Linked DNA regions of Macaca mulatta. The protein of the gene in region 1 interacts with the protein of each later gene in a pairwise test. Links are inferred from orthologs where the notes say so. Each region holds a gene or a part of one and is shown on either strand. Other genes may lie near its edges.

Region 1 (15,729 bases):
GGCTGGGCCCGGGAATCTTGGGCCTCCTGGTGAGAATTCCTCTCAAGCTAGTGGAACTGTCATCACAGAGCCACAGGCCGGCAGAGCCACCAGCCCGTGCCCCAGGCCAGAGCGCCTGCCTGCCCGCCTATTCCTGCCCTCTCCTTGCCCATCGTGCCTGAGGCTATGGAATCACACCCCATGCCCATGGCCAGTGCTGGGACTTTGCTGACACCAGTAGCCCCCTCCCACAGGTATCCCTTCATCCGCCCAGAGCATCTCAGCCCCTCCCAGCCCCGTGGCTCTGTGGGCTTCCTCAGGAGGGCCTGCCTCTCCTCCCTGCCTCACCGCTTCTCCTGGAGATGGGGCCAGAGCCTGCCGCCTCCCTGTCTGTGCTCAGGACCCCCTGCCTGGGGCTCTGTTCAGCAGCTGCCTGTGCCCTCTGCAGCCCTGGGCTTCCCCTGGGAGCCCCTGCCCGCTGCTGGCCTCAGGCCTGGGCAGGTGTGTATATATATATGTGTGTGTGTGTGTGTGTATGTGTGGCAGGCACAGAGCAGAGGTTGCAGTGGCAGTGGGATGTGGGGCGCGGAGGCCTTGATGAGGTCTCACTTCAGCCCTCCCTCTGGGGGTGGGGAACCTCTCCTGCTCCTCCCACCCGACTGTTTTTATTTTGATGGGTATTTGGGGCCTGTTTGTTAAAATAATTTATTGAGGTGAAATTCACGTAACATGAAACTAACCGATTTAAAAGTGAACAGTGGCATTGAGTGCACACGCAGCATCATGCAGCCTCCACCTCTGTCTCGTTCCAGAACATTGTCCTCACTCCGAAAGAAGACCTAGCAGCAGCCACTCCCCATTCCCCTGCCCCCGCCCAGCCCCTGGCCCGTCATCTGCTCTGGGCATTTGACATAGATATGGGACCCTTTGTGTCTGGCTTGTCTCACTTAGCGTAACTTATTTCTTTTACCCCACCTGGAATATCTTATTTAACTTTGTTACTTAGAAATAATTATAGGCCGGGCCAGGTGGGCTCACGCCTATAATCCCAGCGCTTTTGGAGGCCAAGGTGGGCGGATTGCCTAAGCTCAGGAATTTGAGACCAGCCTGGGCAACATGGAGAAACCCCATCTCTCCTAAAACACAAAAAATGAGCTGGATGTGGTGGTGTGTGCCTGTAATCCCAGCTACTCGGGAGGCTGAGTCAGGAGAATTGTTTGAACTTGAGAGGTGGAGGTTGCAGCGAGCCGAGATCGCACCACTGCACTCCATCCTGGTGACAGAGTGAGACTCCGTCTCAAAAAAAAAAAAAAAAAAAAAAAATAGAGACACGGGGAATTGCAAAAATAGTATGGAGAGGTCCCATGCTCCCCCCAGAGCCTTTCTGTCCTCTCTCTAGGAGGAGATGGCCGATGAGCTGGGGATTTGGGGCAGGAAACGGGAGAAGGGCAGCCGTCCCACTGAGGACTCATCCTGCCCAGGTGGCCCTAGCCATGGGCATTCCTGTCCCCTGCAGCCCGGGCTTACCTCTTTGCAGGCTCGGGCGTCTCCTCTCCTTGGGCTCAGGCTGGCCTGGTCGCCGCTGCTGCAGCTGTGCGTGTGGCCCCTCTCTCGGCCGCCCCCTCCTGCCGCAGCCTGGCGTCCTCTCCCAGCAGCTAGCCGGGACCCCGATGGCCGTACTCTCCCTCCTGGGCCCTGGTTCGGTGCCCAGGTTGGGGGGAGCAGGGTAGGATTTCACCCCTCCCCCTAGCAGCTGGCTGGACAGGGAGAGGGGCTGGTTGTATTTTAAGCTGTTGAGTGGTTCAGCAGGAACTCGGAGGCCTCCTCTCCCTGTGGACGCCGGGCTGCCTTCCTGCGGGCCACACGGGCTCAGAAGCATGTGGGCACTGCCTGCCTGGGGCCCGGGAACTATTAATATACCTGCAGCCACAGGCCAGGCCCTGTGCCCGCCCAGGGCCCTGCTGTGCTAACCCTTTCCCGTGCATCCCGCCCCTTGTCCTCTGTCCCTCTCCCACAAATCCCCTTGGTGGGGTCAGACGTCCCGCGTGGTGTGACCGAGCTCTTTTTTCTGGCCCCTCCATGTGCCAGCTCTTTGGCCTTGTTATCGCTGTGGCTTGGAGGAGCTCAGTAACCTTCCCCTAGAGGCCACATGGCCAGGCAGTGCCTGGAGTTGACAGCAGGGACTCAGGAGGCCCCATGGGCCAGAATTTCCTGGCTGCTGGGCCCATTCCCACCCTCCTGTCCAGGAAGTGGGGGCAAGTGTGTCATAGCTGGGGAAATAGGCCCCCATGGTGTGGTGACCGCCAGGCCAGCAGGGGAGTGGGGATCTGAACCAAACCCCCAGGCAACAACACCTCCCATCCCATGGGGTGTGCCCATCTGTCAGGGGTCACCTAGTGTACCCCACGCACCATTGCAGGGGACCCTCACAGTCCTGGGAGGTAGTCCGCTTCCTACCTGCCCCCTTCTGAGGCCTAGAGAGAGGTGACATGCCTGGGGTCCCCCAGGGACTACAAGGCAGGGCTGGTTACGGTTCCCGAGTGCAGGCCACCAAGCCCCCTTGTCTCCCACTGTCGTTGGGAGTGTGCAGGAGGGGTGCCCACCTTCTCTGGCTTGACCGTGGTGCCCTCTCCTGCAGGGTGGGCCCTAGCTGCCATGGCCCAGTCTCCCTGGGCTCTGGGTGGGTGGACCTGCCCTGGGATGACCCCGGCCCAGAGGTTTGTTTCTGAGCGTTATGTCCTGCTCCTTTTCCTCAGGCAGCCTCTGGGGGCCCCCGCTGGGGGTTCTGTGGGTAGGAAGGGTCCCCCAAGAATTGCTGGCCGGTGGCTGACTTGGTATCAGGCCTGCCTGCTTGCCACGACCCCTGTGTGATAGGATTGCACTGACCCCTGCATAGGGTGGGTCAGATCCGCGGGGACTGCTTCCCTCCAGCCCTGCCCCTCTGCACCCCCATCGTTCATCACTGGCCTGGGGGCTCAGGGAGGGCTGGGCCGGACTCCTCCCTCAGGGGCTGGCACAGGCCTAGCTCTTGGACGCAGGAAGCGCCGGGCTTTAGCGGGGTGCAGGTCCTGGGTAGGGGTGCAGTGTTTGGGCTGACTCAGTGGGAAGCCTGCCTCACAGGTGGCTACAAGGTGAGAAGTGGGTGGGGAGGAAGGTCGGGGAGGCCTCCTCAGCCCAGACTGGAGGCGCTTGCCTAAAACTTCCAAGCACCCCGATCCTTTCCACACTTTGAGAGAGGCTCTCTGCACCCATAACTCCAGAATCTGTCACCTCCCTGGTAACACAAATGCACAAGGAAAATAATCCGAAGTGTCTCTTACAGCTCCGAAGGGGAAATGGATGATCTGTCTCGTGGATTCTCAAAATAGCTGGGATTTCTCCAAGCCCAGTGAACTCCCTAGGCCTGAGCTGTGAGCTGGGGCCTGCACGGCCTGCTGGCCTCTCACTCTCCTCAGGCCGCTGGCTCTGTGCAGGGTGGGGGCTGGGAGGTGTCACCATGGCTGCCCCTGGGGCTTTCCCTGTGCTGGTGCTGTTGAGGGACTGTGACCCCTCAAAAACTGCTTTCAGGGCAGCCTGGCTCCCGGGGGTCACCTCCTAAACCCCCCTCAGAGAAGGTCTGTGGCACGGCTCCTGGGAGGGGGGCGCAGTCCGGGCTGGTTTTATATTTAGCTGGGCTGTGGCTGTGGTTGCCACTCGGGTTACATCTGGCACAGAAGCCGGCAGTGCCAGGGCCGGCACGGGCTCCTTTCCAGCACCGCGGCAGAATTTGATCGCGCTTGCCCGGCCCAGGGCTGCTTCGCGTGGGGAGGTCGGTGGTGGGGGCTGACGGCTGGCAGCTGGGGCTGCTGGCCACCGTGGACAGAGCCGAGCGGCAGGGCTGGTGGCAGGCGGCATGGACATGAGCTTGAACTTGGTGGCCCGGGAGGCCACCCCAGGTCTCCTCCCTGGCCTCAATGGGCTCCCCAGGCCCGCACCCCCAAAGGTGGCCAAGAAACCTAAAAAGGCTGTTCTCTTCTTCGAGGTGGAGATTCTGGATGCAAAGACAAGGGAGAAGCTGTGTTTCCTGGACAAGGTAGGACCGGAACATGGGCTGCACTGGGCCAAGGGCACTGGGTCCAGGACCCCCCTCCTTCCAGCCCAGGAGCTGTCCAGTGGGGCCCTGTGGAGGGGTATGCCCTCACTTGGGGTAGGGTAGATAGCCCCGTCCCCTGGGTGTGGCGGGGAAATGGAGGCATGGGAGTCTCAGTAGACCCTGCGGGGATTTTGGTCTTGGGAGGGTGGTGGAGGAGTGAGCCTTGCCCCTGCTGAGCCTTGCCCCTGCTGAGCCTTGCCCCTGAGGGAAGGGGCTTGGCCTGTCCCTGGGGAGGAAAGAGGGCCTTTGCGCCTGGGGGAGTCATGGGTGAGGAGTAGAGAGGAGGGGCAGAGAAGCAGGCTTGCCTTCCCTTGCTTAATCTGCCACTAGCTGGGCTGGGGGCCTGCTGGCTGAGGGTAAAACTGGAGCCCCAGACCCCTGCTGTCACTGCACTGGCAGGGCCCTCGCTGCTTCTTCCCTGATTGTCCAGGCCTCTGCCTTCCAGACCCCAGCCCTTCCCCCTTCCCATAGCTGCAGCCCAACCCCAAGCTTGCCATCCCCTTCATTACCTCCCCATCCTGGGTCTGGGCTCCCTGCAGAGCTGACCTCCCTGCGCCTGTGCTTCCTCCAGGTGGAGCCCCACGCCACCATTGCGGAGATCAAGAACCTCTTCACCAAGACCCGTGAGTCCTAGGCCTGGCCACACTGCCCCTGCAACCCCTCTGACCAGGGACCTTAGGGTGGGAGGGATCCCATCCTGCACCCCTCTCCCAGGGGCCTGCAGAGATGCCCGAGCGTGGCCTAGGCTTCTGGGGCGTGACTGGGGCAGGCGCCCCCACGTGGCACGCCACAGGAACGCCCTTGCTAGGCTCTGGGAAGGACAAGATCCTGCTTCTGCCCGCGCTCTTCCGGCCTGTGTCCTGGAACTGCACAGGCCTGAGGCTTGGCCTCCGGGTGGGAGGAGCTGTGGAGTCCTGGGGTCCCTGCACCCTGGGAACCCTGAGAAGCTGGCACAGCGACTGGGCAGCGGACCGGCTGAGCCCTGCCAGTCTGTGGGCTGTAACCGCCCTGTTCTCCCCCAGATCCGCAATGGTACCCCGCCCGCCAGTCCCTCCGCCTGGACCCCAGTGAGTACAGCTGTCCGCTCGGCCCGCCCCCTAGGCTCCTGGGTGGCAGTGGGAGAAGGCCCGGGCAGCCCCTGAGCCCTGGCCCGCCTCTCTGCAGAGGGCAAGTCCCTGAAGGATGAGGATATTCTACAGAAGCTGCCCGTGGGCACCACGGCCACGCTCTACTTCCGGGACCTGGGGGCCCAGATCAGCTGGGTGACGGTGAGTCCTGACCCTACCCACGGCCTCCTTTCCCATCAGCCACATTGGGTGACTCAACTTGCCTCCCTCTACCCTCAGGTCTTCCTAACAGAGTACGCAGGGCCCCTTTTCATCTACCTGCTCTTCTACTTCCGAGTGCCCTTCATCTATGGCCACAAATACGACTTCACGTCCAGTCGGCACACGGTGGTGCAGTAAGTGGGGCAGGCGGGAGGAGGGTAGGGGAAGGCAGAAGACCTGCCGGACCAGCCCCCAGCTGAGCCTGCTCCCCCCTACCAGCCTCGCCTGCATCTGCCACTCATTCCACTACGTCAAGCGCCTGCTGGAGACGCTCTTCGTGCACCGTTTCTCCCATGGCACCATGCCTTTGCGCAACATCTTCAAGGTGAGAGCCCGCCCCCGCCTCACCCCTGAGCCCCGCCTCACCCCTGAGCCCCGCCTCACCCCTGAGCCCCGCCTCACCCCTGAGCCCCGCCTCACCCCTGAGCCCCGCCTCACCCCTGAGCCCCGCCTTTCCGCCTCACCCCGCCCACATCGAGCCCTACCCCATAGCCCCTCCTATCTTCCACTACGCCCCCGCAGAGCCCTACCCCTAGGCCCCGCCTAACCTCCCCAGCGCCGCCCCCGCAGAGCCTCTAGGCCCTGCCCGTCCTCCCCAGCCCCGCCCCTGCAGAACCCTGCCCCAGTTTCACCCCTAGGCCCCTCCTGTCCACCACGCCCTCATAGAGCCCTGCCCTAGCCTCACTCCTTGGCCCCACCTATCCTCCCCAGCCCCGCCCCAAGGCCCCTCCTGCCCTTCCCCACCGTGCTCCTAGGGCCCTATGGATGAGACAGAATCCGCCCTGCCCGTCGCTGACAAGTCCCATCCCTACCCCGCTCCCTTTCAGAACTGCACCTACTACTGGGGCTTCGCCGCGTGGATGGCCTATTACATCAACCACCCTCTCTACACGCCGCCTAGTAAGTGGCCTCAGACCGTCCTTCCCTCCCCCACGGCCCCCACCCACCGGGTCCTCCCCTCATGGGCCTCCCCTCGCTGCTTCCTCTGCAGCCTACGGAGCTCAGCAGGTGAAACTGGCGCTCGCCATCTTTGTGGTAAGGAGGCTGGGTGTGGGGACGGGGTGGGGGAAATCTGGGCGATCCTAGGCTGATCCTGCTTCTCTGACAGATCTGCCAGCTCGGCAACTTCTCCATCCACATGGCCCTGCGGGACCTGCGGCCCGCTGGTGAGTGCCTGCTGGGGGCAGGGGGACAGCTGGGCTGGGTGAGGGGGTCTGACTTTCTCCTGTCTTGCCTGCCAGGGTCCAAGACCCGGAAGATCCCATACCCCACCAAGAACCCCTTCACGTGGCTCTTCCTGCTGGTGTCCTGCCCCAACTACACCTACGAGGTGAGGGGCTGCCTTACCCCTCTCTGCCCTGGGACTTGGGGTCCCATGTGGAGGGGCCAGCCCCTAGGAGGGGGCGCCTGGCTGGGCAGCTGCTTTTGCATTGGGAGCATTGGGAGGTGGAGACCGCGGCCTCCCTGCTGTGGGGGCCGGGAGGCATGTGCCCTTGGGTTTTCGCAGTATACAGCCCCGCTTCCACTGGAATTGGGTTCCCATCCCTGACTCAGAAAGCAGGGGCTGGGGGACGTGGGTGACTGAGTCCAGGACAGCCACAGGGTGCGAGACTGGCGGAACAGCGGGCCTTGTCCAGCCCTGCCCACCCTCACCCTCCGCCCCTGCCCACAGGTGGGGTCCTGGATCGGTTTCGCCATCATGACGCAGTGTCTCCCAGGTGAGCCTGCCGCCCTCCCTCGGCGGGGCCCTGCCCCTCCGGGCCTGCAGCCCCTCCTTGACGCCCGTTCTTTCCTGCAGTGGCCCTGTTCTCCCTGGTGGGCTTCACCCAGATGACCATCTGGGCCAAGGGCAAGCACCGCAGCTACCTGAAGGAGTTCCGGGACTATCCGCCCCTGCGCATGCCCATCATCCCCTTCCTGCTCTGAGCGCTCACCGTTGCTGGGGCTCAGCCCCTCACCCGGGTGGCATTCTGGGGGAGGAGTGGGGCCCGCAGCTCTCCAGCACCCGGAATAAACCCCGCCTGCCCCTGTCGGACTCGGGCTCTGTGTGTTTCTGTCCGAGGTTGGGGACCACCACATGCCCCTCGCTCTCTCCCCACCCTCGCGTTGGCGCCGTAAGAGGGGACTCTGGTGAGGGGCCTGAAGGTTTTTATTTGACTGGTCCATAGGGTGGGGGGTGCACCCCCTACAGGGCCACCTGGGGGTCCACTTTCCTGGGTCCCTGGCCTTTGGCCAACTCTGCCGCCTTCTTCTCCCGCCGCTGCTTTCGCTCCAGCAGCCTCCGCTCCCGCTCAAACTCCTTCATGCGCATCACATAGCTGAGGGAAAAGCATGAGAGGGGCTGTCAGTGTCGCTGGCCAGGACACGCCTTCCAAGCCCTGGGAAGTAGAGGGGCTGTCCCACAGCACTGTGGGGGAGGCCTCTGAAGAAGACAGACCCGAGTGCCTGTGGTTTAGGTCTGGGGTCTGTCCACGCAGATGATAGGGCTTCCCGCTGGAACCTGGGCTTGGCCACTCCCCTAGGTGGCTTCAGCCACCTGCCCTGTCCCCATCCAACAGGCCCCTAGAAAGCCCTCTCTGGGACTAAGGTGGGGCCCGGCTAGAAACCTCAGTGGCAGTTCAGGTCTCTGGCCTCTGGAGCCACATCCTGCCAGGGGCCAGGGCCTGGGTGGGGTGCAGGCTGTGGGTGTTGGCAGGGGGCTCGGGCGAGCTGGGGGTGTGGGGTGCTTGGGTGGGCCAGGGTTGTGGAAGGCTGGGGGTGTGGGGTGCTGCGGGCCGGTGTGGGAGTTCTCACTCGCGGTGCTCGCAGTAGTGCCAGTCGTGCTGCTCCTGCTTGCAGGCCAGGAAGTTGGGGAACCTGTCGCGCTTGCACTTGAGCAGCTGGATGAGGTAGTGGGCACAGTAGTCCCGCAGCTGGAGACTCAGCTGCGCGTCCATCATCTCCTGCTGTGTGGCCACCATCTCTGCAGCGAGTGGGCAGGGCTCAACCAGGCTGAAGGCCTCCCACCCCAATTCCAGGGATCCCCAGGGGACCCAGGCACACGGCATCAGGAAGCCACGGCTCGGGGTGTCCCCCATTAACATCCAGGTGGCAGATGGTAGTGGATGGCAGATGCCTTTGATGGACGCACTGTCCTGAAGGGGCCTCCTTTTCTAATTTGCACAAAGGCAACTCCAGACACGAAAGCCCAGATAGGAGAAGGTGGCTCCCCATCACCCTGAGGCACCTCAACATCCTGCGCTGGATCCTTGCCTCCCCTCCCGCAGGGATGCCCGTCCCCAACTCTCTACAGCCCCGCTCTCAGAATCCACCTTCTCCCAGAGTACCCCCTCAGACTCCACCCGCACCTGCAGCTCCAGTCAGACTCCTAGCCTTTCTTGTCTGCAACCCGCCCGGGTCCCGGCTCTGCACTGGCCGGCGGCGTGGCCTCTCTCTGAGCCTCAGAACTGACCATCAGCTCATGGAAGTTACCTGAGCATCCACTGAGCTAACAGTACCTGTAAGATACTTAGGCGTGGGCTCAGAAGACAGCTGGACTAGTATCTGGGTCCCGGTGCCGCACTCACCTAGCAAACCTGACTCCGGACAAATCAACCTTCAGGAGGCTGATGGGAGCCTGAGGAACCCTGGACATTCACCCTGGAGCCTGTGCCTGGCGATCCTGCACTTGTTCCCCGCTGCCTCCCTCAGACCCAGCCTCCCTAGCCCTCCTGACGTCCACATCTTTCTTAGTCCCAGCTCCTTCCCATTTGCGCAAGTGAGAGGAGACATACTCACATCTCAATGGCAGTCATCCCAGGCTGGCTTCTCTCCCCTCTGCTTCCCAGCCGTGATTCCCTCATCCCACTCAGGCCCAGGTCCTCCTCTCCTGCCCCTTGTTCCATTCTCTGGCTTCTGCCCCACCCTCTCACTGCCCAGACAGGGGCTCTCACAGGGCCACCCAACAGCCCAGGACCCCAGCCTCCCACTTCCTTCTTTCCTGTGGCTCCTCCCACATCCCGCCTTCCCAGGTTTCCTCCCATCTCTATGGCTGCCTTGCGTTAAGCTTTGTTCTGAGAGCCTTCTTCTTTTCTTTTATTTTGAGATGGAGTCTCACTCTGTCACCCAGGCTGGAGGGCAGTAGCAAGATCTCAGCTCACTGCAACCTCTGTCTCCCACGTTCAAGCGATTCTCCTGCCTCAGCTTCCCGAGTAGCTGGGACGCCACAGGCGTCCACCACCACGCCTGGCTAATTTTTGTATTTTTAGTAGAGATAGGGTTTCGCCATGGTAGTCAGGCTGGTCTCGAACTCGTGACCTCAGGTGATCCACCCACTTTGGCCTCCCAAAGTGCTGGGATTACAAGTGCTAGCCCCCACGCCCAGTCTGAGATCCTTTTTCTCTGCTGCCACCCCTTAGGTAGATGAGTCCGATGTGGTCCCTCCACCCCACACCTCGTTTGAGCCCTAGGCCTGGGTATCACCTGCAGCCCCTGGCTGTTCCCTATCTGCACTTGGAGCTCCAGGTGGCAATCCTAGACTCCTCCCTCTTTTGTCTCAAACTTATAATCAACTAGCAGCAAGGACTTTAGACCGCCTACTGTGTGCTTAGTGGTGGGGATACAGCACGGAACACAACACACAAGGGTCCCTGCCCTCGGAGGGAGACACAGAACAGACAGAAGACAGAGCACCACAGCGTGTCTGGCAGTGCTTAAGTATTAGGGAGACCAGCCTGGGGAGCACAGAAAGATCCCATGTCTAGAAAAAATAATAAAACTGTCTGGGCACGGTGGTGCACACAGAGAAGGCAGAGCTACTTGGGAGGATCGCTTGAACCCAGGAGTTTGAGGCTGCAGTGGGTGGTAACCGCACCACTGCACTCCAGCCTAAGCAACAGAGTGAGAGCCCATCTCTATAAACAAATAAATAAATATGGGCCGAGCGTGGTGGCTCATGCCTGTAATCCCAGCACTTTGGGAGGCTGAGGCGGGTGGATCACTTGAGGTTAGGAGTTCGAGATCAGCCTGGCCAACATGGTAAAACCCTGTCTCTACTAAAAATACAAAAATGAGCCAGGTGCGGTGGTGCGCACCTGTAATCCCAGCTACTCGGGAGGCTGACGCAGGAGAACTGCTTGAACCAGCAAGGCGGATGTTGCAGTTAGCAAAGTGACTGGCTGAAAGGGGGTGGAAAGGAGGAAAGAGAGGGCAGGGGACAATGGTCTAGGAGGGAGGGAGAGAGTGAAGGATCCAGGAGGTAATAGAAAGGCCAGGCAGCATGAAGAGTCCACTGGAGAACCAATCGGGAGACCAGTCAGCAGGGACTGCAGGAATGTGCCACCACACCCAGCTAATTAAAAAAAAAAAATGTAGAGACAGGGTCTTGCTATGTTGCCCAGGCTATTCTTGAACTTCTGGCCTCCAGCACTCCTCCTGCCTTGGCCTCCCAAAGCGTTGGGCATGAGCCATTTTGCCTAGCTTAGAGCTGTTTTTTTCTGATCTCTCCCGCATCATGTTCAGTTGCATGGGGATAGGCGCCAAGGAAGGGAAAGAGGTGAGTTTATCCAGAGTAAGCGAGAGAGAAGGGCAGCAGGTTGCTAGCGTTTGCAAAGCTGATCTTGGGCAAAGCAAGGTATGTGAGGCAATGGGAGGGAGGTGGACGGACCAATGGACTGCAGGTTCAGCTGGGGCGGAAAGACTGCCTGGAGTGAGGACACTGGAGCGATTATACCATCTCCCAACTTTCTCTCAAATCCAGGCTGCTTAGAGGTGTCTGTCTCAAGCTTGTCGCCCGCTCAGCAGACAGCGGGACCTTTTGACTGACCAAACCTGACTGTGTCCCTCCTCTGTTTAGAAGTTTTGGCTCTGCCACCTCTCTTTGGTCAACCCCTACTCGTGGCCCTTCACATCTTTTTTTTCTTTTCCAGACAGAGTCTTGTTCTGTCACCCAGGCTGGAGTGTGGTGGCCCGATCTCGGCTCACTGCAGTCTCTGCCTCCCGGGTTCCAGCCAATTCTCCTGACTCAGCCTCCCAGACAGCTGGGATTACAGGCACGCACCACCACACCCGGCTAATTTTTGTATTTTTGGGAGACAGGGTTTCACCATGTTGGCCAGGCTGGTCTTGAACTCCTGACCTCAGGTGATCCACTGACCTTGACCTCCCAAAGTGCTGGGATTACAGGCGTGAGCCACCGTGCCCAGCCTAATTTTTATATATATATATATTTTGAGATGGAGTCTTGCTCTGTTGCCCAGGCTGGAGTGCAGTGGTGTGATCTCAGCTCACTGCAACCTCCTCCTCCTGGGTTCAAGTGATTCTCCTGCCTCAGCCTCCTGAGTAGCTGGGACTACAGGTGCGCACCACCATGCCCCCAGCTAATTTTTGTATTTTTAGTAGAGACAGGGTTTCACCATATTGGCTAGAATGGTCTTGAATCCCTGACCTCATGATCTGCCCATCTCGGCCTCCCAAAGTGCTGGGATTATAGGCATGAGCCACCGTGCCCGGCCTTAATTTTTGTATTTTTAGTAGAGACAGTATTTCACCATGTTGGCCAGGCTGGTCTCGAACTCCTGACCTTAGGTGATCTGCCCGCCTCAGCCTCCCAAAGTGCTGGGATTACAGGCATGAGCCACCGTGCCTGGCCACCCTTCACGTCTTTGTTTCCAGTCTCTGCCTACTGGAAGCCTGCCTTGACACCATCCAGCTCTGCCTGATTCCACAATCCTTCCCACTGTGCTGTGAGTTCTCTGGAGACAGTGCCTGCATCCTTCCAGTTCCCTGCTGTATCCGCGGTTCCTAATGTGGGAGGTGGCCCAGAGCTGGCTCTCGGTATGCCTGTGATATTACTACATTAAAAGCAAAAACAAACATGAACCAAAAAACCATCCTGGGCATAGTGGCTCACATCTGCAATCCCAGCACTTTGGGAGGCTGGGCAGAAGGATCGCTTGAGCCCAGGAGTTTGACACCAGCCTGGGCAACAGCAAGACCCCCATCTCTACAAAAAATAAAAAATCAGCTTGGCATCCTGGCACGCTCCTGTAGTCCCAGCTACTCGGGAGGTTGAGGCAGGAGGATAGCTTGAGCCCAGGAGGTCGAGGATGCAGTGAGCTGTGATTGCACCACTGCACTCAGCCTGGACAACAGAGCAAGATCCCATCTCAAAGCAAAACAAAGCACTTTGCAGGACGGTATTCGCGGCGCGAATCTTCCTTATTTTCTTGTGCATGCACCACAATTGCAGCGACATTAGGAAAGGGGTACAATGAACATGTCCCTGCCCTCCCGTGACTCCCCACATCTCCCAAGACTCGGCCCGAAGCCGGGAGTGGTAGCTCACGCCTATAATCCCAGCACTTTGGGAGGCCGAGGCAGGCGGATCACTTGAGGTCAGGAGTTCAAGACCAGCCTGGTCAACATAGCGAAACCCCGTCTCTACTAACAATACAAAAAATCAGCCGGGCGTGGTGGTGCCCATCTGTAATCCCAGCTACTCGCAAGGCTGAGGCAGGAGAATCGCTTGAACCTGCGAGGTGGAGGCTGCAGTGAGTCGAGACCACGCCACTGCACTCTAGCCTGAAAGAAAAAGCGAGACTCTGTCTCAAAAGAAAAAAAAAAGACTCGACTGAGCTCTGCGCGCCGCACTCCTGCCCGATCCCCTACTTGTCTCACTTTTGCACCCTGGCTTTTACTCAAGCCGTGCCCTTGGCCTGGAACGCCTCCACCCTCAGGCGGGGACACGCACGTCCTCTGGACTCCTAGTCTAGACCCAAACCCAGACACAACACCTGAGGTTAGAGCCCAGTCTTGGGGTTCCAGGGGTTCGGGGGTCAGGCGCCCGCGCCCCACGCCCTCTGGTCGCGCCTGCGCATTGGGCCTCACCGCGCTCCTTGCGTTCGGGCAAGCCGTAGTCGGGCGGGAAAGTTGGCATCTGCAAGGGGTCGGGCTCCACCGAGGAATCGCCCAAGTAGCGCCGGACGAGGTGCGCCCCCATGGCTGCAGTCGCTGCAGGTTCCTGCAGCAGCCGAGGGTCACCCAGCTCCTACCCGGAACCACTGACCCCTCAGCTAGACACGGCTTCCGGGTCGCTTAGGCGGCTGCGGAGAGCATAGAGATGAAGGACTCCAGAGGATCGCTCCGGTCCGCCTGGCGTCACCTCGCGGACAGGCGGAGGCGGGACAAGTGCTGCGTCCCCTCGCAGGATGTGCTTGGACCCGAGAGGGGACTTCCCTGAGCGTGGAAATCCATCTGGGCAAAGTAGAAGGGGAAGATGTAGGACTGAGGCCTCCCTCGACCCTATCTGGGGCTCTTCTGGTAGCCCGAGGCTAAAGCACGTATTAAAATTATTTTTCATATCATTTTCCAAAAAGTTTTTTCTTCTAAAACATTAAAATTTCTCTTAAAAAAAGGCACAATATCGGCCGGGCGCGGTGGCTCATGCCTGTAATCCCAGCACTTTGGGAGGCCGAGGTGGGCGGATTACGAGGTCAGGAGCTCGAGACCATCCTGGCTAACACGGTGAAACCCCGTCTCTACTAAAAATATAAAAAATCAGCCGGGTGTGGTGGCGGCGCCTGTAGTCCCAGCTACTCAGGAGGCTGAGGCAGGAGAATGGCGTGAACCTGGGAGGCGGAGCTTGCAGTGAGCCGAGATCGCGCCACTGTACACCAGCCTGGGCGACAGAGCGAGAGTCTCAAAAAAAAAAAAAAAAAAAAAAAAAAAAGGCGCAATATCGATTATATCGTTAATGTATGTACTTTTGAATAAAGTTACTTTAATAATTTTTTTTTTTTTTTTTTTGAGACACAGTACCTGTCGCCCAGACTGGAGTGTACTGGCACCATCTCCGCTCACTGCAACCTCCACCTCTTGGGCTCAAATGATTCTCCTGTCTCAGCCTCTTGAGTAGCTGGGATTACAGGCGTCAGCCACCACACCCAGCTAATTCTTGTATTTTTTTTTTTTTTTGGAGACGGAGTCTCGCTCTGTCGCCCAGGCTGGAGTGCAGTGGCCGGATCTCAGCTCACTGAAAGCTCCGCCTCCTGGGTTTACGCCATTCTCCTGCCTTAGCCTCCCGAGTAGCTGGGACTACAGGTGCCCACCACCTCGCCCGGCTAGTTTTTTGTATTTTTTAGTAGAGAGGGGGTTTCACCGTGTTAGCCAGGATGGTCTCGAGCTCCTGACCTCGTGATCCACCCGTCTCGGCCTCCCAAAGTGCTGGGATTACAAGCTTGAGCCACCGCGCCCGGCCTAATTCTTGTATTTTTAGTAGAGAGGGGGTTTTTGCCATGCTGGCCAGGCTGGTTTTGAACTCCCGACCTCAAGTGATTCTCCTGCCTTAGCCTCCCAAAATGCTGAGATTACGGGCATGAACCACCGCGCCTGTCCAAGAAATATTTTGATAAATTTGATTTAAATAAAAGTTATTCATAAATACAATTATTATTATATTATTATTTTTTGAGACAGGGTCTCATTCTGTCGCCTAGACTGGAGCACAGTGGCACAATCATAGCTCACTGTAACCTTGAACTCTTGGGTTCCAGGGATCCTCCTGCCTCAGCCTCTCAAAGTGTTGGGATTATGGGCGTAAGCCACTGTGCCCGGCCAAAAACAATTATTTAAAGCTGAAATTTTAAATAAATTATATTGATTTTATATATATCCATGTAATCTTTATATAATTTTAAAATATATATTATATATAATATTAATATCTAATATATATTTTCCCCCAATCTGACAAAGCATGTATTAGGCATCTACTGTATGCTGGGTCCAGTGGTCAGACAGGCAGACATGGTTCCTGCCTTGCAAGCTTACAGTCTAATGGGACAGAAAAACAGTCTAATGGAAAAAAAAAATGGACCAGGACGGTGGCTCACACCTGTAATCCCAGAGCTTTGGGAAGCTGAGATGGGAGGATCACTTGAGCTCAGGAGTTTGATACCAGCCTGGGCAATATAGGGAGACTCTGTCTCTAAAAAAAAAAAAAAAAAAAAGCCAGGTGCGGTGGTGCACGCCTGTAGTCCCAGCTACTCGGGAGGCTGAGGCAGGATTGCTTGAACCCAGGAGTTCCAGGCTGCAGTGAGCCGTGATCCCATCACTGCACTCCTGCCTAGGCAACAGAGTGAGACCCTGTCTATAAAGATTCCCAGGTGATGTGAAGTTGCTGGTCTAGTGACCAGCTTTGGGAGAATTACTCAGCTAGATCTTTATGTGTTGACATGCAGAAGTGGCTGCTGATATATTAAGTGAAAAAAGCAAGCTATGAGAATAGGCAGCTGGCAATAGAGACTTTTCTTT
Region 2 (16,599 bases), on another chromosome or scaffold:
AATTAGAAGCAACCAAGATGTCCTTCAATTGGTGAATAGGTTAAAAAAAAAAAAAGAAGGTATATCCAGACAACGGGATATTATTCAGTGATTGAAAGAAGTAAGCTATCAAGCCATGAAAGACACAGACAAACCTTAAGTGCATGTTGCTAAGTGAAAAAAAAAAAAAGAAAAACAACGGAAAGGCAACATCCTGTGTAATTCCAACTATATGGCATTCTGGAAAAAGCAACACTGTAGAGACAATAAAAAATCAATGGTAACTATGGGTGTGGGAGGAGGCTGGTTTGGGATGAATGGGTAAAGCACAAATTTTTAGGGCAGTGAAACTATTATGTACAACGTGCCATGACAGATACATGGTATTATATATTCATAAAAACTCATATAGGCAAGGAACAAGGGATTATTAAAAATGACCAGGCAGATTTGAAAGGTTTGTGTATTGTTTAGGAAGATAATAAAGATACTGATTAATATTAGACTTTAATGAGTTAATGATCCATGCTGTAATTTCTATGGTAACCAATAAAAGAAGAGAAGCAAGATGTACAAATTCCAGTGAGTAGAGGGGGAAGAATTAGTGATTATAAATGCAAAAAAGGAGTGATATGGTTTAGCTCTGTGTCTCTACCCAAATCTCATCTCAAATTGTAATCATCACTTGTTGAGGGAGGGACTGGTGGGAGGTGATTGGACCATGGGGATGGTTTCCCTCATGCTGTTCTAGTGATAGTGAGTTCTCACAAGGTCTGATGTTTATGTGTGTGTGGCAGTTCCCTCTTTACTCTCTCTCTCTCCTGCTGCCTTGTGGAGAAGGTGCTTGCTTCTCCTTCACTGTCCACCACTGTATTTGTCCCTTCTCACACAGCTATGAAGAAATATCTGAGACTAGGTAATTTATAAAGGAAAGAGGTTTAATGGACACAGTTCTGCATGGCTGGGGAGGCCTCAGGAAACTTACAATCATGTTGGAAAGGGAAGCCAACATACCTTCTTCACATGGCAGTAGGAGAGAGATATGCAAGCAGGGGACGTGCCAGATGCTTATGAAACCATCAGAGCTTGTGAGTTTCACTCACTATCACAAGAATAGCATAGAGGTAACCACATCCACGATTCAATTACCTCCCACTGGGTCCCTCCCACAACACATGGGGATTATGGGAACTACAATTTAAGATGAGATGTGGGTGGAAACACAGCCTAATTGTATCAGCCATGATTGTAAATTTCCTGAGGCCTCCCAAGCAATGCAGAACTGTGAGTCAATTAAACATCTTTTCTTTATAAATTACCCAGTCTCAGGTATTCTTTATAGAGGTGTGAAACTGGACTAATACAGAAGATTGGTACTGGGAGTGGGGTACTGCTATAAAGATACCTGAATATGTTGAAGCAAGTGTGGAACTGGGAAACAGGTAGAGGTCACAACAGTTTGGAGGGCTCAGAAGAAGACACGAAGATATGGGGAAGTTTGGAACTTCCTGAAGAATTGTTAAATGATTTTGACCAAAATGCTGATAGTGACATGGACAATAAAGTCCAGGCTGAGGTGGTCTTAGGTGGAGATGAAGAACTTATTGGGAACTGGAGGAAAGGTCACTCTTGCTATGTATGCTTTAGCAAAGAGACTGACAGCATTTTGCCCCTGCCCTAGAGATCTGTGGAACTTTAAGCTTGAGACAGATGATTTAGGGTATCTGGCAAAGAAATTTCTAAGCACCAAAGCATTCAAGATGTCACACGGCTTTTTCTGAAAGCAAACAGTCATATGCGTTCACAAGGAGATGATCTAAAATTAGAACTTATGTTTAAAAGGGAAGCAGAGCATAAAAGTTTGGAAAATTTGCAGCCTGACAATGCAGTAGAAAACAAAGACCCATTTTCCAGGGAGAAATTTGAGCCAGCTGCAGGAATTTGCATAAGTAACAAGGAGATGAATGTTAATAGCTGAGACAATGGGGAAAATGTCTCCAGGGAATCTCAGAGATCTTCAGGACAGCCCCTCCCATCAAAGACCTAGAGGCCTAGGAGGGAAAAATGGTTTCCTGGGCTAGGCAGGCCCAGGGCTCTACTGCTGTGTGCAGCCTCAAGACATGGTTCCCTGTGTCCCAGCCACTCCAGCTCATGGCTAAAAGAGGCCAAGGTACAGCTTGGGCCATTGCTTCAGAGGATGCAAGCCCCAAGCTCTTGCAGCTTTTATGTGGTGTTGGGCCTACAAGTTTGCAGAAGCCAAGAGCTGAGGTTTAGAAACCTACGCCTAGATTTCAGAGGATGTATGGAAATGACTGGATGTCCAGTCAGAAGTCTGCTGCATGGGCGGAGCCCTCACAGAGAACTTCTACTAGGGCAGCAGAAAAGGGAAACGTGGGGTTGGAGTATCCATACAGAGTGCCCACTGGGGTACTACCTAGTGGATCTGTGAGAATAGGGCCACTGTCCTCCAGACCCCAGAATGGTAGATCCACCAACAACTTGCACTCTGGACCTGGAAAAGCTGCAGGCATTCAACTCCAGCCCATGAAAGCAGCCTTGGGGGCTGTACCCTGCAGAGCTACAAGGGCAGAGCTGCCCAAAGCCTTAGGAGCCCACCTCTTGAATCGGCATGCACTGGATATGAGACATGGAGTCAAAGGAGATTATTTAAGAGGTTTAATATTTAATGACTACCCAACCAGGTTTCAGACTTGCGTGGGCCCTTTGTTTTGGCCAATTTCTCCCATGTGGAAGGGGAACATTTACCCAATGCCTATACCCCCATTGTATCTTGGAAGTAACTAACTTGTTTTTGATTGTACAGGCTTGCAGGTGATAGGGACTTGCCTTGTCTCAGATCAGACTTTGAACTTGGACTTTTGAGTTAATGCTGGAATGAGTTAAAACTTTGGGGGACTATTGGGAAGGCATGACTGGAACAGCACATGCAAATTCCCTGAGGCAAAAAAGGAGTATTGCTTGATGGAAGACCTAAGATGAGGCCAGTATGACTAGGAGGGGCATGGTGAGTCTGAGGAGGCAGGTAGGCTCTAGCCTATGCAGATTTTTGTATACCACATTAAATATTATATGCTTTATCCTAAGTGTCATCAAAAGCCATTTAAATATCTTTAGGGGGTCGGGTAGAGGAAGGTAGTAGACATTAACAAGCTTGTATGTGAAAAAGATCACTCTGGCTATACTGTAGAGCAGGGGTCCCCAACCCCTGGGCCACAGACTGGTACAGGTCCATGGCCTGTTAGGAATCCAGCCACACAGCAGGAGGTGAGCAGCAGGCAAGTGAGCATTACCACCTGAGCTCCACCTCCTGCCAGATCAACAGCAGCATTATATTCTCAGAGGAACACAAACCCTATCGTGAACCGTGCATACAAGGGATCTAGGTTGCATGCTCCACTTAATGCCTGTTGATCCGAAGTGAAACAGTTTCATCCTGAAACCATTCCCTCTCCAGTACACAGAAAAATTGTCTTCCATGAAACCAGTCCCTGGTGCCAAAAAGGTTGGAGATCGCTGCTGTAAAGAACAGCCTGGAATTGGGCTGAAGTGACTGAAAGAAGATACATTGAGTTTTAAATTGACTTCCAACTGAACAGAACTGTATGCACTCCTGCCTCCTCCTACTTTCCCATTAAGTAGATTATATTGGAAAAAAAATCAGTCAAATGAATGAAAGAAGCTTTCAGATGAATGATTATTTGGTTTTGTAAAATGGTTCACTTCTTTATTTCTTTTGCAAAGAAATTGTTTTGCCCTCTGATTACAGTGTGCAAGTTGGGCTCACCAACTTGCACTTTAAAAAATTCAGGAAGGTCGGGCGTGGTGGCTCATGCCTGTAATCCCAGCACTTTGGGAGGCTGAGGTGGGTGGATCACCTGAGGTCAGGACTTCGAAACCAGCCTGGCCAACATGGTGAAACCCCGTCTCTACTAAACATACAAAAATTAGCCAGGCATTGGGGCAGGCACCTGTAATCCCAGCCACTTGGAAGGCTGAGGCAGGAGAATCGCCTGAACCCGGGAGGCGGAGGTTGCAGTGAGCTGAGATTGTGCCATCGCACTCCAGTCTGGGGGACAAGAGCAAGACTCTGTCTCCAAAAAAAAAAAAAAGAAAAAAGAAAAAAAAGAAAAAATTCAGGAAAACTGCCTTGTTTTCCTGAACAAGGAACAGAGGCAACAGAATCTCTAAACAATCTGCAACAATGGTGGAAAAGGATGGGACCCTGACAATTGTCAATTTATACCTCTCACTTCATCTCTTGAGGTCTTGAAACTGCTTTTGCAAGAATTATAACAGTGAGAAAATTATGACTGAAAGAGATCTGATCTAACCAGCCCCCATCTTGCCTCTGCAAATCAAAGAACATGACCAAGGCAAGTCTCAATCATTTTAGGAGGTTTATTTGCCATAGTAAAGGATGCATGCCAGGGAAGCAGGTATATGCTTATCTCCAAAGATTATTTTGAGGGCTTCAGTACTTAAAGGGGAAAGGGTGGATATTGGGGGAAGATAAATTTTTTTTTTTTTTTTTTTTTGAGATGGAGTTTTGCTCTGTCACCAGGCTGGAGTGCAGCGGCGCAATCTTGGCTCACTGCAACCTCCAAATCCCTGGATCAAGCGATTCTCTTGCCTTGGTCTCCCAAGTAGCTGGGACTACAGGTGTGCATCACCACGCCCAGCTAATTTTTGTATTTTTAGTAAAGATGGGGTTTCACCATACTGGCCAGGCTGGTCTCAAACTCCTGACCTCATGATCCGCCTGCCTGGCCTCCCAAAGTGCTGGGATTACAGGCATGAGCCACTGCACCCAGCTGAAAAATATTTTTAAATTGTGTCAGTAGATAAAAAGACAAAACAGTTGCATCCTTTTGAATACACAATTTTCATGTGAGGGGGGTGTGGAGGAAATATTCATGCCTTCATCTGGCTCAGTTAATCTGTATTTTTACATAAGATAACATAGACAATAGGGCAGAGGAAGCAATCAGATATGCATTTGTCTCAGGTGAGCAGAGGGAAAACCTTGAGTTCTGTCCTATGTCTCATAATTGTGAAGACATCAACTTATATTGCCAGGTTGAAATTCAACAGAACTGTTTTAGAGTAAAGATCTTTGGGCCTAAAAGGAATTTACTTGTGGGCAAAATGTGAGGGAAGTATATAGCTTTTATCTTTGTAGCCATCTTATTTAGGAACCAAATGGGAGGCAGGTTTGTGTGACCCAGTTCCCAGCTTGACTTTTCCCTTTGGCTCAGTGAATCTGGCGTTTTCCTTTCTCACCTTTAACCTCCAATACTGCCCTTGGTCATTCCTGGGCTTGGACCAAGCTAACTTTGGGAGAAACTTAGTTTATAGTTTAAGTGATAATAGCCCCTCCCCAAAACTAAACCACTTTTGTAAAACTAATGAAAAGCCACCAGGTTAGAAGGATAAGAGGAGCTTGAATTCTGCTAAGACATAGGCTTCGTTAAGTTAAATAGATTACCAGCCACTATTGCAGAGGTCACAAGATTTGCAGCTCTCCCAATTGTAGAACCTAAGATTGGCCTTTTGAGATAACCTTTCAGGCTTCTGCATTTCGGATGGCCAACGACCCCACTGGGACCTTTGACTCTTGGCTCAACCAGTCCTGTGGCCTCCACCCAGAAGCAGGCTTAGTGCAGGAGGACCATTTTCCACATCCCTATAATTGCATTCCCAACCAATCAGCAGCACCCATTAATTGCATCCCTATAATTGCATTCCCAACCAATCAGCAGCACCCATTCCTCCAGCTTCCTGTTTGCCAAACTGTTTGTGTGTGTGTGTGTGTGTTTTTTGACTACAGCTCTCAGATCTTAGCCAAACTATTCTTGGAAAACCCTAGCCTCTGACTTTTGGGGGAGATTTTGAGTAATAACTCCATCTCATGTCAATTAAACTCTTTATTGCAATGCCATGGTCTCCATGAATTGATTTTGTCTGTGCAGTGGGCAGGAAGAACGTATTGGGTGATTACAGTGTCATGGATTTAAATACCACCACCCCCCTCAGAACTCTGAGAAAAGATAAATGGCTCTAACAGCTTTGAGCTGTCTGAGCTATGTGAGGTATGCAAAAACTTATCAGGCCCAGAGAAACAGGAGTTTGCCTGGGGGCAATTGTTTAGACATTCTGTTCCTCACCTCACCCATTCTGAGCCTCACCCATTATCTTCATGTTCCTGGAATCTGTGATACAAATAATAGTTTATAGCCAATCAATAGCTAATGTAATTTTAATGTAAATTCTTAGTAAACAACTTAGAAATTGCCTCTTTTTCCTTTAAAAACCCACTCATAACTGCTGCTAATCAGAGTGTATATTTACGGTAACTTGAATCTACACTCCCAGGTAGCCATCTTCAACGTTTACGCTTGAATAAACTTCCTTTCAACTAGATTCTTACCTTTTTTATTATTTTAGGTTGACAACTCTCAAATTTATATTTCCAGCCCATTGGACTTCCTTCCCGAACCTCAGGGTCTAAATCTAATTGTCTATCCAGCCTCTCCACTTGGATGTTTAATAAGGATTTCAAATTCAACATATAAAAAACAAAATTCCTGACTTCCGCCTTAAAAACAGTTTCTTACAAGTTGCTCAAAATGCCTTTGACCTCACACTCCAAAACTAATATAGCCACAAATCTTATGATTCTACTTCTAAAATATGCCCAGAATTCATTGTTGTTGTCATCACCTCGATCTCCACCACTCTGGCCCACACCACTATCACTATAGCTGGATTATTGTAATAACTTCCTGATACCACTTCTCACCAACTAATACGAGCATTTTCGTCTGGTTCCCTCAGGGGTCCTTAAGCCCCAGGCTGCGGATAGTACCAGTCCGTGGCCTGTTAGGAACCAGGAGGCACAGCAGGAGGTGAGCAGCAAGCAAGGGAGCATTACCTCCTGAGCTCCGCCTCCCTCAGATCAGCGGTGGCATCACATTCTCAGAGGGGAGTGAACCCTATTGTGAACTGCGCATTGGAGAGATCTAAGTTGTATGCTCCTTATGAGAATCTAATGATAAATGTAATGCCTTTGAATCATCCTGAAACCATCATCCATCCCCCACCACGAAACCGGTCCCTGGTGCCCAAAAAGTTAGGGGCCGCTGCTCTATATAATCCCTGGGAGACCGATGACTTTGTCTCTTTCACTTAGTGCCATGAACTCCAGGGCAACTTTGTGGACGCTCCATAAGTACTTGCTGGAATGAACCCATATATATTTTATACTACCACATATACAGTAATACATTTAAGGAGCTGCTTGGGTGTGTAAAAAATTGCAGGGGACGTTTACAAATAAAGAACCTCCTGAAACAAAGCAAAATGGAAAGTGGGGTCAGCTGGTTGAAGCAGTGCCCACAAGCTGCTCCAGCTTCCCAAAGCAGACAGGTTTTCCACCTAAGCCAACATCCTTTTATTTTTAGTCACTATATCTATAAATCTACTCCCTTACCCCGCACCTCACTCTCAGCCGACAGCCCAATGGGCTTATCCTCTTCTCGCCCTCACGATGAGCGAGTCCATGTGGTCTCAGGCTGCAAGATGCACTTGAACACCTGCCCAAACCTCACGGACGACACTGGATTCTAGGCCTCCTGGGCTTCTCCACTGTACTAGGAATGTAAAATCAAAAGTCAGAAAGAAAACTTCGGAGGTGGAATCTCCAACCCGGCTACGGGTTGGAAGTAAAGCGCATCTAGCAAAGGGCTGGTCCATGCAGCCTCAAGGATTGATGGGAAGTGAATCCACCGTCAACCGCCCTGATTCAAAATGGCAGGATACCGGAGCGATAGTGTTTAGGTGTGAAGGTAGGGCCATTGAAGAACGGAGAACGAAAGCACAATTGTTTTGATTCAACATGGAGGCGGTGATTACAGGAGGGCGAATAGCGAGAGACGACGCAACATCCAGCTGGCAGAGGCAGCAGGCCTGGCGAGGGTGGCCACATTGAACTAATCCAAGATGGCGCCGAGGTTGTAACCGGGAGCGCGCAAGAGGCGGGAATTACCCTGATCCAAAATGGCAGTGGCAATTGAGGCAAGCCGAGGGACGGAAGCGCCAGGAGCGTCTTTGCCCTCAGCCAAGATGGCGGCTGCCGTGGACCTGTCCCGGCTCCGCCCCGCGGCCCCGGCCCCGCCTCTCCCTCGTCCCTCCCTCCGCCCCCTCGCCTCGTACAGTCCGGCCAGAGCCGCTCGCGCTGCGAGAGCGGGCTTCGGGCACTTGACATGGCGGCAGCGGCGGCGACTGCAGCGGCGAAGGGGAATGGGGGCGGCGGTGGCAGGGCCGGGGCCGGGGACGCCAGCGGCACGCGGAAGAAGAAGGGCCCGGGGCCCCTGGCCACGGCGTACCTGGTTATCTACAATGTGGTGATGACAGCCGGGTGAGTCTGGGGCTCGGGGAGGCGGGGAGGCGGGGAGCCAGCGCGGCCGGGGAGGGAGCGCTGCGGCCAGCGGCGCGGCCCGCCGCAGGCAGTGCATCCCGGGCGGGCGGTGCCCGGGACCCGGCACCTGGTCGCTGAGGGCGGCCGAGCGCTGAATCGGCCCCGGTGGCTGCCCGCGAGCTCCCTCCTGCGCTGGGGGTCGAGCCAAGTTCCCAGGCACTGGGGCGCGGGGACGGCTGCCGGGCGCTGGCTCGCGAGGGCCGCGGGAGAAAAGGTGGGGCTGGCCACAGGTGCGGGGCCCGGGGCGGCGGCCGGATGACCTGCCTCGCGGAGCCCATCCCGGGCGACCAGGCTCGGATGGTGAACGGCGCCAGCCTAGGGAGTGGAGGAGCTGTGGCTGCAGGGTGACCATTCATTTGGGCGGCTGTTTTCAAAATCTGGACTGCGCTTTAATCAGAAAGGTATTGGGAAAGAGTTCAAAGTTTTTGGCCAGCGACATAAGCAGAGCTGAGTTTTAGATGAGTTCAGACTTTCAGGATGGGTTGGGGTGGAGAAGAAGCTGGGGAGTAGAAGGCAGAGTTACTGGAGAGGGGGAGAATAGACCCTCGAAACGGTTTTACCCATCTTCTGTCTCCCTCATTTTAGTCCATCCCTTATCCCGGCGGGTTTTTAGTTCAAGCTCTGCCACTAACTAGCTGTGTGACTTTGGATAAATCATCTTATTTCTCTAGCCTCCGTGTTTTCATCTGTAAAACTGAAGGGTTGGGCTGGGTGATGAAGGTTCCTTCAGCTCTGCAATTCTTTATCTCGTCATTTTGGTGAGGAGGATCACAGGATCAGACAATTTGTTATATATTTTTAAGTTATCTTCATTTGTAATTTTTAAAGAAGTCCTAACATTTTATGAAAAATTTCAAACATACAGAAGAGTTGAAAGAATTGTATAGTGAATATCCATTTTTATTTAGTTTTAAAGTAGGTGATACATTGGCAGGGTTCAAAATGAAAAACATGAGGGAATACAGTGAAAATCTTTCCTCCCACCTTTCCCTTCTACCCAGATCCCCTCCCTCGAGGCAGTTAATTTTGTATATCCTTAAGATGCTGATGCAAGCAAATATGTTTATACATCCCCCTACCCCTTTTTAAAATAAGACAAATGCCAATATATTATTATTTTTACAATTCAGCACCTTGCTTTTTTTTCCAAAAAAAAAGAAAAGACATCGTGGGAGGATCATACATGTATTGCTAGTATTAGAAATGGTAAGTGTTGAAACCTAGGCTCAGAGAAGTTGTGACTTGCATGAGATCATAGAACTTGTTAGTAGAAGTTCCGGATCTGGAAATCATTTCTTTTGACTCACAGGTCAATGAAGAACTAGTACAGATACAAGCTTTATATCACATCAGTGGTCACATAGATTGATTTTTAAAAGAACATCCAGGAATCTCTCTGTGTGTATTAATATTTATATATGTAATTCTTGTTGTCTTAGCAAGGGCTGGTGAGGGCATTGGACTGGAGAGGGATTTTAAGGTACATTGGTAAGAAGAAAGAAGTCTATTCCTGAGCAATGAACATAGAGAATTGGGTGGAGGGTAAGGAGTGGTGTCTTAAACCAGGAAGATAAATTGGGATTGTGAGAGCAAAGTAAGCTTTTTTTTTTAAAAGGCTGTTAATGGTTATACCAGTTACACCATTAAATAATTTCTTCTTTTACAAACTCTTATTTGATGTCCTTATATGATAGTTTTTGGAAATAGCATAGACCACACACACCCCATTGCCTAGTTGATACTATACATTGATCTAAATCCTTCCAGGAGACATACCTTAATAAAAAGGTCCATTTGTTTTATTATGGAACTTAACAAAACATTATGTTTATTTTTGAGAAGGACAGTGGAACAAAAATATAACATTCACGGCTGTATGCTTAAGTGCTTTCCTGTTTTATGATTTGTATTGATCTGGCTTTCATTTCTGAGTTGATTTCGGGAAATTTGGCTAAAAACCTTTTTTTTTTTTTTTTAACAAGAGCCCTTTATTCTTAATTTTAAAAGGATAGATTTTAAGGTATGGGTAATTGTTCCAGTGAGACAATTATAAAAATAGTTTAAAGGATCTTCTTTCTACCCTATAATTATTAAAAACCCTTTAATTGCACAGGCTGTTTAAAATTTTCCTTTAACTATTTTTTTCTCGTCTTAGATTTTCTTGGCACCTAATTTAGTGGCACAAGGACCATTTTAGCTTATTTCTTTCCTTTTGGCCTTGTTCTCAATAGCAAAGTTGCCAAAAAAAATGAGCTCCAGATGGGTGAGGTGCCACTATGCTTTCACTGAGCCCTCTTGGTAAGGTGCTGTTAGTGTTGCAACATTTCAGTGCATTACAGCTTGGCATTTGAGAGCTATCATCCATAAATCCAGATTACTGATGCTTGAGGTCACCTTTAGCAATATCTTTTATTGCCACAGCTGTCTATTAACCTAAATCCTACTTTTTTTATTTTTATATTTTCCTGATTGCTCTTTTCTCTTTTACTAGGTGGCTGGTTATAGCGGTTGGTCTGGTCCGAGCATACCTGGCTAAGGGTAGCTACCATAGCCTTTATTATTCAATTGAAAAGCCTTTGAAATTCTTTCAAACTGGAGCCTTATTGGAGGTAGGTCCTGAGATTTATTGTTGTTATTGATTTCCATTGGTATAAAAAAAAAATGCAACTAAATTATATTGAAGTAGCATACCTCCATTGGATTCGTGTTAAATTTTGAAATTTTGCCTCCTCACGTACTAAAGTGTTGATACCTAGGCTTTTTGATGTTCTAGATTGGGTAAAATCTCATTTAACTTATATTACCTTGAATATATTTTGTATTCGACTTTGGAAAATCAACTGAAACAAGCTTGTATTAGGATTTTAAAAAATTCTAGGGACATCCTGAGGAAGCACTGGCAAAATCAGATGCTTTCAGGGTTTATGTAATAGAAATAGTGAAGTTGGTGGGTGTAGGATATTGGGAGTGATAGATAGAAAACATAATAGAGAGCCTGTCTAAAGGCATCCAAATTTTAAAAATTTAACAAAAATGTATTGATTTCCCTGCATTAAGGGCAGTGTATATCCAGCCCTCTCTCTTGGGGTAAGTATAGATTAGCATTTTGGAATTGCAAGGGACAAAAACCAATTCAAACTATTTTAAGCAAAAAAGGAATTTTCTGGCCTCTGTAGTTGATACAGATACAGGATTAATTTACAAAAAACTAGCTCAGGAATGAGAACCAAGGAGTTGATGCTGCCAGATTCTCTTGCTTTCTCTCATCTCTGCTTGTCTGTTTCTCTTTGAATGTTGGTCTTGGGCTCTCCACATGGTGGGAAACAGGGAGGGTGTTTATTTTTCTCAGCATTTGTGTCACATAGTTCCCAGGGAGGATTCTGGTTGGCCCTACTTAGACTGTGCCAGTGATGTGAGGTGCTTGATTAGCCAATCTTAGGACACATACCCATTCTTCTCTCTGAGGGACTATAGACTTTGTTTATGGAAAAGAGGAATGGGGATAGCTTTGGGCTATCAATAGCCGCCGTAGTTCATTATGGTGAAAAACCTTCAGATTGCAGGGAAGATCTGGTTCATTTTGCTTAGCCTCCAGGCACGACCATCTTGACATTTATACTTTACTGGCAACTTTTAAAACCTGAACTATCGAATGATACTTAAGAAAAAGTCGTTTATCTCGCTGGGCATGGTGGCTCACGCCTGTAATCCCAGCACTTTGGGAGGCCGAGGCAGGCGGATAACGAGGTCAGGAGATTGAGACCATCCTGGCTAACATAGCGAAAACCCGTCTCTACTAAAAATATAAAACTTAGCAGGGTATGGTGGCACACGCATGTAGTCCCAGCTACTGGGGATTCTGAGGCAGGAGAATCGCTTTGAACCGGGAGGCAGAGGTTGCAGTGAGCCGAGATCACGCCACTTGTACTCCAGACTGGGCGACAGAACCAGACTCTGTCTCAAAAAAAAAAAAAAAAAAAAGAAAAAAAGTAAAAATCGTTTATCTCATGAAATGAAATGTGATACCTCTACCTTTCATTCTCACTCTTTTTTATTTTCTTGAGACAGGGTCTTGCTCTGTCGCCCAGGCTGGAGTGCAGTGGTGCAATCATGGCCATGGCTCACTGCAGCCTTGAACTCCTGGGATCAAGCAGTCCTCCCACCTCAGCTTCCAGAGTAGCTGGGCCCACAGGTGTACACCACCATACATGGCTAATTTTTAAAACTTCGTAGAGACAGAGTCTCCCTGTGTTGTCCAAGCTGGTTTCAAACTCCTCAGCTCAAGCAGTCTTCCCATCTCAGCCTCTCAAAGCACTGGGATTATAGGCGTGAACCACTGCACCCAGCCCACTCTCACTTTATTTATTTATTTTTTTGAGAGAGGGTCACTCTGTCACCCAGGCTGAAGTGCAGTGGTGTGATCACTGCTAACTGCAGCCTCGACTTCCCAGGCCCCAGCCATCCTCCCACCTTATCCTCCCAAGTAGCTGGGACCACAGGCATGCACCACTGTGCCTGGCTCATTTGTATATTTTTGGTAGAGATGAGGTTTGGCTGTGTCACCCAGGTGGGATCCACTCTCACTTTCTAAATCAGAAAGTTATCCATTTTGCTTTTGTTTTTTTCTCTTAGAAGGCAGTTTCTTTTTTTCTTTCTTTCTTTTCTTTTCTTTTTTTTTTTTTTCTTTGAGACAGGGCCTTACTCTGTTGCCCAGGCAGGAGTGCAGTGGTGAGATCTCGGCTCACTGCAACACAGAGGAATTTCAATAGTGTCCATACTTAGACATTTTAAGTAGGTGGTATGATGAAATGCGCTTCCAGCTGGAAGCCTGAGTACCTTTTTTATTTTAAGTATAATAGTTTTCCCAACTGACTCTAGAGATTTGGGCGAGTCTTTTCTCTCTTATCTACCTCCTTTTCATTTGTAAAATAATTAGGTTAAAGTAGATTTCTAAAGTCCTTTACTACCCTAACCATTTGAGTCTGAGGAAATTTTAATAAATCCTAATGTGAACCATTTTTTAAACTTAGAGGCTTGAACTTTTTTTGGAAGGGGACACTAGTAAATAAGTAGTACTTTCTATCTCAGAGCCTTGGCCAGTACAGTTCCCTCAAGCTACAGAGAAGCAAATTTGGAGTCAAGACCATCAGACTCCCAGTACTTGATATAGTAGGGGGTTGTCCCCAATTGGAATACTTCAATAATTTAAAGGGGTTTCTATTTCTATCATAATATTAGGGCTGAGCACAGTGGCTTATGCTTATCATCCCAGCAATCCCAGAGCTTTGGGAGGCCAAGGCAGCAGGATCGCTTGAGGGCAAGAGTTCGAGACCAACTTGGGCAACATAGCAAGACCTCGTCTCTAAAAAAAAAAAATTTTTTTTTTTTTAGCTGGGCTGGGTGGTGGGTACCTGTAGTCCCAGCTACTTGGGAGGCTGAAATGGGAGGCATGAGCTTGAGCCCAGGAGTTTGAGGCTGCAGCGAACTATGATTGCATCACTACAGTCCAGCCTGGATGACAGAGTGAGACCTTGTCTCAAAAAAAAAAAAAAAAAACCAGCAAAAAAAAAACACTTGGTAATGTTAGAAGTATAATGTTTGAAATTTAAGTATATCTTATGGAAGGTAGGGACATTAAACAGTGTCATACTTTAAAATCCACTCAGGAACCAAGTCTTAGACTTTGAAGGATTAGCCTGTTTATCCTTATAGAATTTTTAATAGGGATTTAGGAAAATATCTTGGATTTTTGGTTTTATCTCTGTTATCCCCGCTAAGAACCAATTAAGTGACAAATCCTGGATTTGATTTTGGGAAAAAGTCTGCATAAGGAAGTGACGACTCCCAGGAACATGCAGGCAATTAACATTGCAAAGGTCAGTGATGGAAGTAATCCCTTGGACTGCGTTAGAGCAGGCTTGCTGAAACAACAGTTTCTGTGGTTGAGGAGCTTTTCATTGCCTACCCCATCTATGCTGTGTAATAATTAGATGTGTATGATATTGTTTAATTACACATAAGTTATCCCGATGGGAATTATTAGTGTTGACAGTATATCCTGTTTACAGGAGGAGAAAATGAATCCAGGGAAGGCAGCTACTCATTTATATCTCTCTATGCTAAATGTTATTCTTTATTAGGTTCTGTGGGAGTTTACTTAAAAAGGAAATCGAAATTACTTGTTCTCCAATTTCAAATCTTCTTAGGAAAATAATAACACTTTGCTTTTTAAAAGCCATAAAAACATTTACCAAGCAAGTACAAAGGAGCATGTAGTAGTGAGGTACAAAAGGAAGCCTGGCTGAGTGCCGTGGCTCACACCTGTAATCCCAGCACTTTGGGAGGCTGACATGGGGGGACTGCTTGAGGCCAGGAATTCAAGACCAACCTGGGAAACATAGCGAGACCCCATCTCTACAAAAAATTTAAAAATTAGCCAGGCATGGTAGCATATGCCTGTAGTCCCAGCTAATCAGGAGACTGAGGCCGGAGGATCACTTGTGCCCAGGAGTTCAAGGCTACAGTGAGCCATGATCGTGCCACTGCACTCCAGCCTGGGTAACAGAGCAAGACCCCATTTCCAAAAAAAAACAGTATATATAAATAAAATGCTACTCATGGATAAAATGTGATCTATGGATATAAACATTCATAAAATTAATAAAAGCAAATGAATTACTGATATATGTTATGCCTGGATAAATCTTGAAAAAAATGCATGTGAAAGGAGGCAGATACAAAAAGTCACAAATAGTATGATATCATTTATATGAAATATCCAGAAAGGCAAATCCATAGTGACAGAAAGTAGAGGAATTATTAGGGGATGTGGGGAGTGACTGCTAATGGTACAGGATTTCCTTTTAAGGTGGTGATATTGTTGTTGAAATAGTGGTGGTGGGTGCACAACTCTGTGAACATATTAAAAACCACTGGATTGTACAGTTTAAAATTGTGAATTTTGTGGCATGTGAATTCTATGTCAGTTTTTAAAAAACAAGTTCCTCTGTAATGAGCTGTGGATGTTTTCTACTTTATTCATTTTTTGGAGTCCGTGATATTCATTGATAAGGCAGATGTTATCTTTGCGTATTTGTCAAGTATAGTTAGATTAAAAATTAGTAGATTGATGCAGTTATGGCAGTTTAAAATTGTGTCTGAGAGAATTTGGGTTTCTCAATATCTTTGGTTAACATAAGACTGTAATTATAGCAAAGACACTTTCAAATACTCATGATTGGATATACCTCTGCAATTGACAGTGAGATTTCAAATGGGTTAAAGATTGCTCTGCAAAGAGGTTAACTGTTGAGATTGTTACAGACTATCTTCAACGTATTTACATTGCTGTATATGTCATTTACCTACCATTGTGTATCTGGGACTGCCTGATGGACCACAGGAACTCCCTTTCCTTCCCATTCTCTTACAGATCTTTCTTCTACTTAAAACCCCTTATCTACAAAAATGAATAAACAACCCAATCTCATTTCTGATAGTGTTGAATTGATCTAGGACAGGGTCTGGAGAAGTGGTGAGAGACAGCAGACAGCTTTTGTTAGTCTTCTAACCCCACCACCACTTTCTGGGCCCCATCTGTGTGGTCCGGTCTCACTCTTCAGACCTCACCTCACAATGCTCTTCAGATCCTTTAATGAATAGGAAACTGATTTGGGGTATTTCTCTAAAATATATCAAAGTCTTAGGAACTTGCAGTGTCCTTAAGAAGAAAGATCCCTTCTTATCTCCCTGCCAGTTTTTCTTTCTTTATGGCTCAAACACTAACTGATTTTTGCCATGGAGGTATAGCGCTTCAGACTGCTTTTGTAAACTGGTTTGAGGACATAACCATTGTCTGTTTTATTTTTCCTTCTTGTGGAAACATTCTGATTTCCCAATAATAATCTCAAAAAGGAACTTCTAAAAAGCAAGCTACATGCATATGTTAGGCTCCTTTTATTCTGGACCCATTTTGAGGAGACACATCTCTAAAAGAGGCTTTTGAAAAGCTAGCAAGAGCAAGTCATAGTGGAGATATCTAACACAAATAGGAATGACAACAAATCCCAGAAAAACCAACTTCTCAAACAGTGTGAAAACCAGAGGAAAACGCTAACTTGATT

What was found.
Region 2: the proteins of TECR (region 1) and HACD2 interact in binary tests that used the Homo sapiens proteins (3 or more experiments, as listed by UniProt). The link is inferred for Macaca mulatta from reciprocal best matches to the Homo sapiens genes TECR and HACD2.

Annotation. Positions count from the first base shown.
Region 1 is NC_133424.1:15,173,018-15,188,746, forward strand, and holds the end of TECR (very-long-chain enoyl-CoA reductase), read left to right. Parts: intron 1-1,506; exon of another isoform or gene 1,507-1,993; intron 1,994-4,000; coding exon 4,001-4,051; intron 4,052-4,682; coding exon 4,683-4,734; intron 4,735-5,133; coding exon 5,134-5,178; intron 5,179-5,275; coding exon 5,276-5,379; intron 5,380-5,457; coding exon 5,458-5,573; intron 5,574-5,658; coding exon 5,659-5,764; intron 5,765-6,266; coding exon 6,267-6,339; intron 6,340-6,430; coding exon 6,431-6,474; intron 6,475-6,547; coding exon 6,548-6,605; intron 6,606-6,680; coding exon 6,681-6,769; intron 6,770-7,111; coding exon 7,112-7,157; intron 7,158-7,237; coding exon 7,238-7,365; 3' UTR 7,366-7,474; downstream 7,475-15,729. Other genes in the region: NDUFB7 (NADH dehydrogenase [ubiquinone] 1 beta subcomplex subunit 7), read right to left, coding at 7,625-7,757, 8,233-8,401, 13,306-13,417. UniProt on the Homo sapiens protein: Involved in both the production of very long-chain fatty acids for sphingolipid synthesis and the degradation of the sphingosine moiety in sphingolipids through the sphingosine 1-phosphate metabolic pathway.
Region 2 is NC_133407.1:160,173,759-160,190,357, forward strand, and holds the start of HACD2 (very-long-chain (3R)-3-hydroxyacyl-CoA dehydratase 2), read left to right. Parts: upstream 1-8,249; 5' UTR 8,250-8,261; coding exon 8,262-8,416; intron 8,417-10,967; coding exon 10,968-11,085; intron 11,086-16,599. UniProt on the Homo sapiens protein: Catalyzes the third of the very long-chain fatty acids (VLCFA) elongation four-step cycle (condensation, reduction, dehydration, and reduction).